Mus musculus: one gene and its partner. The protein of the gene in region 1 purifies or fractionates together with the protein of each later gene. This does not show direct contact. Links are inferred from orthologs where the notes say so. Each region holds a gene or a part of one and is shown in the gene's direction. Other genes may lie near its edges.

What was found.
Region 2: the proteins of Lurap1 (region 1) and Cdc42bpb purify together in Homo sapiens (co-immunoprecipitation; 3 studies listed by BioGRID and IntAct, with this or other methods). This does not show direct contact. The link is inferred for Mus musculus from reciprocal best matches to the Homo sapiens genes LURAP1 and CDC42BPB.

The regions. Positions count from the first base shown.
Region 1 is NC_000070.6:116,141,668-116,146,009, reverse strand, and holds the start of Lurap1 (leucine rich adaptor protein 1), read left to right. Parts: upstream 1-1,393; 5' UTR 1,394-1,515; coding exon 1,516-1,713; intron 1,714-4,342. UniProt on the Homo sapiens protein: Acts as an activator of the canonical NF-kappa-B pathway and drive the production of pro-inflammatory cytokines. Promotes the antigen (Ag)-presenting and priming function of dendritic cells via the canonical NF-kappa-B pathway.
Region 2 is NC_000078.6:111,318,457-111,322,263, reverse strand, and holds part of Cdc42bpb (serine/threonine-protein kinase MRCK beta), read left to right. Parts: intron 1-659; coding exon 660-793; intron 794-1,057; coding exon 1,058-1,300; intron 1,301-2,175; coding exon 2,176-2,286; intron 2,287-3,390; coding exon 3,391-3,635; intron 3,636-3,722; coding exon 3,723-3,807. UniProt on the Homo sapiens protein: Serine/threonine-protein kinase which is an important downstream effector of CDC42 and plays a role in the regulation of cytoskeleton reorganization and cell migration. Regulates actin cytoskeletal reorganization via phosphorylation of PPP1R12C and MYL9/MLC2.

The DNA.
Region 1 (4,342 bases):
GCCACCATGCCCGGCTCTTTCTTGGCCCTTCTTTACCTGTAGAATTAAGTCCAAACAGCTTAGAAACATAACCGTGTCACTTAGTGTGGTTCTCAGAACTGTAGCATGGCTATCCCCCTATAGCTTCTTAGAAATGCAGACTCAGGCTGATGAGATAGCTCAGCGGTTAAGAGCACCATCAGCTCTTCCAAAGGTCCCGAGTTCAAATCCCAGCAACCACATGGTGGCTCACAACCATCCGTAACAAAAATCTGATGCCCTCCCTCTTCTGGAGTGTCTGAAGACAGCTACAGCATACACACATATAATAAATAAATAAATCTTTAAAAAAAATGCAGACTCTCAGGTCTGGGGCTGGGGCTGGGGCTGGGGCTGGGGCTAGAGATGGCTCAGCAGGTAAGAGCACATACGACTCTTAGAGAGGACCCGAGTTCAGTCCTAGCACCCATGTTACATAGTTCACAACTCTAAGTCCAGCTTCTAGGGATCTGTTGCCCTTCTGTGGCCTCTAGACACCTGTACTCATGTGTACATATCCCTACATGAACATACTTTTAAAATACTTGTAATTAAGATAGAAAATTATCTTTAAAATTAATCTTTAAAAAAGATTTTAATTCCTGGTAAGGCAGTGGCAGGTGGATTTCTGTGAGTTCAAAGCCGGTCCACTCTACATAGCAAGTTCTAGGCTATGGACCACACAGTGAGACCCTCTCTGTAAAAAAAGAAAAGCCAGACTGTGGTGGCACCTGCCTTTAACCCCAGTAGAGGCAGGAGGATCTCTTAGTTCCAGGACAGCCTGGTCTACAGTGGGTTCTAGGGCTACACAGAAAAACCCTATCTTGGTAAAACAAAACAAAAGCCAATGCAGGACCTCAGGCTCTAACTTGCCAGGGTTTTCAGAGTACCCATATTTACAGTCAGTCTTAGGAAGCACCTCTTTTGTTAGCCCATGTAAGATGAACATCAAGATTTGTGGATTCCTTCAATTTTAATAATGGTTGTTTCTCACTGGCCAGGGGGATTGCCCTTCTATTACTCTTTCAGCTGATTTCTAGATGCTGGGAGGTGTCTGTGAACTGAGTGGCTGTATTCTAGCCCCTGTAACAGGCACAGCTCCTGAGCAGAAAGCCTTCCAAAACCTCTGCAGCCGTGTTACCTCGATTGGGGCTACTTTTCATCCAGAAAATATTTATTAGCTTCCTGCTGCGTGTCTAGTTGGTGCCAACACAGGGAGAAGGCACTGAGCTTTCTTTGAGGTCTTCAGTTCCAAATCCAGGATCACCTAGTCGAACGCCTCCAGGGCTAGAAGTTGTGTGCATACCACTCGGTACCTCGCTCCCCCAACTGCGCGGCTTTTCTGAGCGTTACGGCGCCCTCCTCCTGTTCCCCCACCCCACCCCCCGCGCGGGGCGGGCGGGGATCCACGGGTTTCGCTCCGCGTTCGTAGCAGAGAAGGGAGGACCCTTGGGAACCGGACCCTGGTCGCCCAGTCCTGTTCTGGCTTGGGCCCACATGGAGGGGACCGCGGAGTCCCAGACGCCGGACTTGCGAGACGTGGAGGGCAAGGTGGGCAGGAAGATCCCTGAAGGACTGCTCCGCGGGCTTCGAGGCGAGTGCGAGCTGGGAACCTCTGGGGACGTGCTGCTCCCGGGGGCGCCCAGCACCGGCCACGGCCTAGGGGACAAGATCATGGCGCTGAGGATGGAGCTGGTGAGTGTGGGTGCTACAGGCCACGGGGAACGGGATATTTGTAGGGGCAGGGGCAGGTTCCCGGAGTTGGGCTGGAGAAGAGGGTCCTTCCAAGATCAATCCATACATCCTGGGTTGAAAGCAGAGTGAAGTGACGTCTCATTATTTGTCTCCCAAGGGTGAATGAAGGGTTGATAGGTCCTGAGAACTGAGAGTAGGAGGCACATCTCTTGGAAGTTTTCCCTGCCCAATAATCGGAAGGAGAGAGGCGAGGGCTAAGTAGCACACAAAAAAAACTTAGTACAGCGCAAATTCTTCCCATCGGCATCCGGGGCCACCAATTTCTTCAGACTCCACTATAAGGCAACCGTTTTCTGCCCCCTTCTCTGGCAAACAGGGGAAGAGGTTTTGTTCTTAAGGCCCTAGGGTGTTCGTGTCAGGATTCAGAAAAAAAAAAAAAAAGAGCTTTGGTGAGGTAATACCTGCTGGAAACTGCCTGCACTGGTGGGGCACACTAAAAACCTGTCCTTTTCCTAAGCATCCCACCATCACGGTATTAGACGTTCGAAGACCTTAATAGAGGCACAGTAGCACCACAGTACGAGTTGGTCCTTCACCTGGGGCTCAGTCTCAGACAGAGTCTCAGGGTCTCTGTACCTTCTTGCAGAAAGGGGGAGGAAACAGCCACACCTCCCCACCCCCTTCTCTGGTAGCTGTTGGTCTGGTTTCTGAGCCAAATGGGCAGCCGGGTCCCAGCGGTCTCTCCTGGGGCCCTGGTTCCGGTGAAAGAGATGAATTACACCTGCCACCACTTTGCAGCCAGTTCTGGAGAACTGAGGAACTGCCAGCTACTCACTGGCTCTGAACCAGAAGCCCACACTGGCTTAACAAGTCTTCCTGGGGCCCCACTGTGTGCACAACCTGTGGCAAGCAGATCTGGAAGGGTGGAAGGAAGGACATGGGACCTTGAAGGCAGGTCCAGGGCTTTCATTCTATGGTAAGAGAGGCTAAGAGAACCTTCGGAGCTGAGTGGTCAGAGAGGATCGCTGAGGGCAGGATCTGAATGCCAAGTGTGCATTTGGCTTTGAAGGTTGTATCTGAGTGCCAGATTCTGCTGAGCAGGGCTGTGGCTGTATTCTCCTCTTAAAGAGGTCTGGTTTGTCTCTTTGTACAAATTGCTCAAGGCATAGAGAGAGTTTACCTAGTTTGTCCTTTGAAAACTAAGGTGTTTTGTTTTGTTTTATTTTTGAGATGTGGGCTTACTGTGTAGCTCAGGCTGGCCCCAAACTCATATTCCTCTTATCTCAGGCTCTTGAGTGCTGGAATTATGGGCATGTGCTACCATTCCCTGCTGGAAATTAAATTATACTTAGAATATAAGCCATGTGTTAACATCCAGGATGGTACAAGGTGTTTTTCTTTTTAAAGAACTTTAAGAAACTTTATGTGTAGGAGTATTTTGCTGGTGTGTGTATGTGTGTATCACATGCATACCTGTTGCCCATGGATGTCAGAAAGAGCATCCAATCAATTGGAACTGGAGTTATGGATGGTTGTAAGGTACTATGTGGGTGCTGGGAACCTAACCTGGGTGCTCTGTGAGAACAAGTGCTCTTGACTGCTGAGCCACCTCTCCCCAGCCATTCTTCTCGGAGGTCCTGAGATTGAACCCTCTCACACGCTAGGAGAGCGCTCTACAATCCAGCTGTACCACGGCTGCTATGTGATGTCTCCTCCATGCTTGGCTTGATACATGGTATTTCACAGATGAAAGAATGAGGTAAGAAGAGGTTAAGCAGTTGCCCAAGGTCACTCAGGAAAGTCAAGTCAGGATTGGAGCCCAGATCATCTGGCCACATTCATCATGAAGACATGCTTTGTGCCAGATACTTTAGGCACACTTTGTGTCATTGAAATGAGAAAAGTTTCAAACGCCCATGGGCTTGCTTCTCATACAGGGAATCCGGAGGCCAGCCTGACCTCTGACTCTCATTCTTTATAAACTTTGAGGGAGTACATTTAACTTCTAATTTCGTCTTTTAACTTTTGGCCCATCGAGCCTGGGGTCTAGGTTTCCCATGAACAGTGTACCAGTAGAGGAGGAAGATCTCCAGTCAGGCTCCTTTCTCCCTCAGGCCAGGAAAGCATTGATTTCTTCTTGTACTCTGCTCTACCCTCTGGTTTACTGAAGCACAAGGGTAGGGCAGGAGGTTTGAGGCCAGTAAGGCAGAGCTGACCCAAGCCCTCTGATATGCCCCTCGCCCTGCTCTCCTTGTGTAGGAGCAGACACTTGCCCTTCAGGCTAAGGTCAACCCTGCTGTTGGCTTCCTACTCTTGCTTTGTTTCCCTAGTCTGTAAAGAGCCAGATTCTGAGATGTGTGGGAATGGCAAACAATGGCAATCTCTCAGTCCACCCAAAGAGCTGTTGCTATGAGAAGCCACCCCCACAGAGCAGTTTGTGAGAATGTATTAGGCAAAGAATGGAGGAAAGACATGGGTTCAAATCTTCTCTCTGCTTCTGATGTGTTTGCTGTCTTAAGGAGGGCCCTGTCTCCTCCTTGTCTTTAGGGCTTTTTACCCTTTGGTGGAGGAAATAGGGGATAACTGTAGAACTAGACACCTGTTAAGAGCTTTTATTTTACTGACAATG
Region 2 (3,807 bases), on another chromosome or scaffold:
ACCCCGATCACTCCTGAGCCATATACCATAGCCACATGTGGGTAGGCTCCTCGGTCAGCCTCTGTCTCCAGGTTAGATTTGGAGTCTGTCTGCTCCGTTTCTGATTAGGCCCCACTATCCTGATTTTTAAAAAGGTTAGGGCTGAGTCGATTATTCACTAAACAAAGTACCGCCTTCCACTGGGACAGAGGCCAGCACTTTGCTGGATGTCAGAGGGCCTGAGGCAAATGAGCACAGGCACCAGAGGGAGGTCTGTCTGTGAGCGGAGGTCTCCAGAATAAAACAGAAGCAGAGTATAACAAGCAGTTAGGCTAGCCCTCGGGGAGCTGGCAGGGAGCGGCAACTCCGGACGCCATGTGCAGGGGAGCAAAGGCCTCTGAGGGAAGACATCGCGAGGCTGGCGAGATGGTGCCGTGGGTGCTTGCCACCAAATCTGACAGCGTCCAGTCCCTGCTGCCCACGAGTCAGCCTCTGACTTTCACACCCTCACTGTAGCATACACATGGGGACAGACAGACAGACACACACACACACTAAATACATGAAAACTAGTGAAGAAGACTGCTTCCTATGAATCCCGAGGTAACTCCAACTCAGTAAATCAGCTAACACCAAGTCACTGTACGCACAGGAACACAATCCAACTCTCTTCTGTCCAGATTCAAACAGGCTCGAACGCCAGCTGGAGGACACAGTGACACTTCGCCAGGAGCATGAGGACTCCACACACCGGCTGAAGGGCCTCGAGAAGCAGTACCGCCTGGCCCGGCAGGAGAAGGAAGAATTGCACAAGGTAGCGCAGGCTGTCTGAGTGAGGGAACTGTGTATGTGTGAGGGGACTCTGCTGCCGAGACCTACTGTGAGGAGGATTGGCTCACGTGGTGCTGAGCACCTAATTCGCACCCTGTTCCCGGGAGCACTCTGCAAACCCATGGCCATTTCTGGTCATTTCTGGCCAGCATTTGAATCGCTCTTAACTTACGTATGACAAGACACAGTTCCTGGGTTTCAGAGTCTTTGTTAGGGAAATGTAAAACCGAGAACTCTTTTCCTTCAGCAATTGGTTGAGGCTTCAGAGCGATTGAAATCCCAGACCAAAGAACTTAAAGACGCGCATCAGCAGCGAAAACGGGCCCTGCAGGAGTTCTCAGAGCTCAATGAGCGCATGTCGGAGCTCAGGTCGCTGAAGCAGAAGGTGTCCCGTCAGCTCCGGGACAAGGAGGAGGAGATGGAGGTGGCCATGCAGAAGATCGACTCCATGCGGCAGGACCTCCGCAAGTCTGAGAAGTCCAGGAAAGAGGTAGCTTCCCTTCCCGTGAGGATGCACGTATGCTGATGAACATGTGGGCACGGGACAACGGCAGGAGCCAGCCTCCTCCTCCACTGCCTGGGTTCCCCGGGGTCAGAATCAAGTCAGCAGGCTTGGGGACAGTGCCTTCTAGCACTTGACTAACTGGGACTTGGGTGCAGACGTCAGTCCTGCCTGGAACGCCCCTGCCCTGGACGGCTTCCAAGCCCTCCTAGGAGCAGCCGGTAGACTAAGCAACACGTGGCTTTAAGTCCTGCTAAGTGCACTTGATGGATCGTGAACCTCAAGAGCCTGCAGTGCTGAGCACTCTTCATGTCTAGGCTCTGTGTTCGTCCCTAAACACCTGACCGTGTTCTTGGTTGATTTTCTAACCCAGATGGACTTGTGGTGGTATCAGTGGGCTCACAGCTTAGGTCAGTGAAACCCCTGAGAATTGAGGATGAAGTGATGGGGACCCTGAGCTTTGTTTTAAAGCAGCCAGAGAATGTGGGCACAGGCAAAGCAAGCTTGGTCTCTAGCTAATAGTCACCTGTCAAAGCTGGATCATGGGTGTGTGCGGTTTTCTCTCCTTTAGCCGATGTTTGCATTTTTCATTTAAAAACTAAATTGTAAGTGTAATAATTTTTTTAATTACACCTTCACATGTCAGAGTTGTTTCTACAAATTGGGACCTTTCCTTGAATTTAAACCTCAGATTATCTATTTAACTAGAACGCAGGCTTGTTTGATTGCTAGTGGTCGTAGCCAGCCATTGCAGCTAAAGTGTCCCTCAGCCTTCAGCTCATGGCGAATCTGGCAAAGGGAAATCTGTACCGAGACTCTCGGGCCGTGTTCTGTTTTACTAAAAGCAGATCTGCTTTCCCTAGCTGGAAGCTCGGCTTGAGGACGCAGCTGCCGAGGCCTCTAAGGAGCGGAAGCTCCGAGAACACAGCGAGAGCTTCTGTAAGCAGATGGAGCGCGAGCTCGAGGCCCTCAAGGTAAGGCTTCCCCGTGTGCGCATGCACGTGGCCGCGGTGCTGGCTATCAAGCATGGTTGGACCCGTGTCTCCCAAGCGTCTTCCAGGAAGTCACAGGATGGGAGGAAGTGTAGGGGGTGGCCACTGCCTTTCTAACAGCTTCATTATAAAAGCCACATTCATTTCTCTGTTGTGTGGAAGTATCAGGTGTTTGTGGTCAGTATTGCCAAGTTAGCAGATGTTGCCTCCTTCTGATCCTGATCAAGTATAGGCACTTGGGCATGCTCAGCTCTGGAAAAGCCGTGTCAGGTCCATGTCCTTTGTTGATGCTGCAGAGACAAGCTGCTCCACACTAGGACCAACTGATGGGGTACGAGGGCAGTAGGAAGTCCAAGAGAAGGAACAGTCATGAGTGAGGGCCACCAGCTGCTTTCATCCGCTCTCAGTGTAGTGTGGTATGGGATGGGTGAGCTGGACTGAAGGGGCTGCTGGGGCCTCATAGTTATCATGGCAACTCTCTCCTTGAAGCCCAAGACATTTATTCCTCTGTCCTCTTCGCTACCATCGGATCCAGTCGGATCCAGCTCTTGGCAACCCCATCTCCTAGACTGCTTCCTGGGACTCTCTGCCGGCTCTTTACCTGTCTGTAGCGCATTCCTCACATACAGCCACCAGGGAGTATAACAGAAGTATCAGGGGCATCCAGCTCCTTCCTCGGTACCCTCTGGACCTGGTCTGCAGAGTGGCTGCTCAAGCTGAGTCAGCTCCACAGCCTTCCTCAGCCATGTCAGCCTTCCTCGTAGACCCGGCTCAAACTTCCACCCCCAGCACGCAGTGCTTAGGCTCCTCCAAGGCCAAGATGGCACCACACATCCTCTGTCCCACCACGTTCCCTCTTCCCTCACTTAGTGGGTTTCTGTCACCTCCTCCTGCTCCTGAGAACAGGGACCTTAGTGTCACCCCAGTCACTGGGAGATTTGTGACAAGCAGTCAGCACTCAGTGTTGGTAGGTGAATGGGTGGTGGCTGCTCTGCCTGGTACAGTCCTAGATGCCAGCTAGTAGTAGAAGAAGAAGAGACATCGTGGCCTTGACACCGAGGCTGTCATTTCAACCTTCCTCTGAAGGTAAAGCAAGGAGGCCGGGGGCCAGGGGCCGCGTCGGAACATCAGCAGGAGATCTCCAAAATCAGGTCGGAGCTCGAGAAGAAAGTCTTGTTCTACGAGGAGGAGCTGGTGCGCCGAGAGGCCTCCCACGTGCTAGAAGTAAAGAACGTGAAGAAGGAAGTCCACGACTCCGAAAGCCACCAGTTGGCCCTGCAGAAAGAGGTCCTGATGCTGAAAGACAAGTTAGAAAAGTCAAAGCGAGAACGGTAAGCATGTGATGCCCAGGTGAAAACAGCAGCCCGCTGCCACGCCGCAGGCACGTGAGCGAGGCGCTCTCTCCTCCACCTCCACAGGCACAGTGAGATGGAGGAGGCCATAGGCACCGTGAAGGACAAGTACGAACGGGAGAGGGCCATGCTGTTCGATGAGAACAAGAAG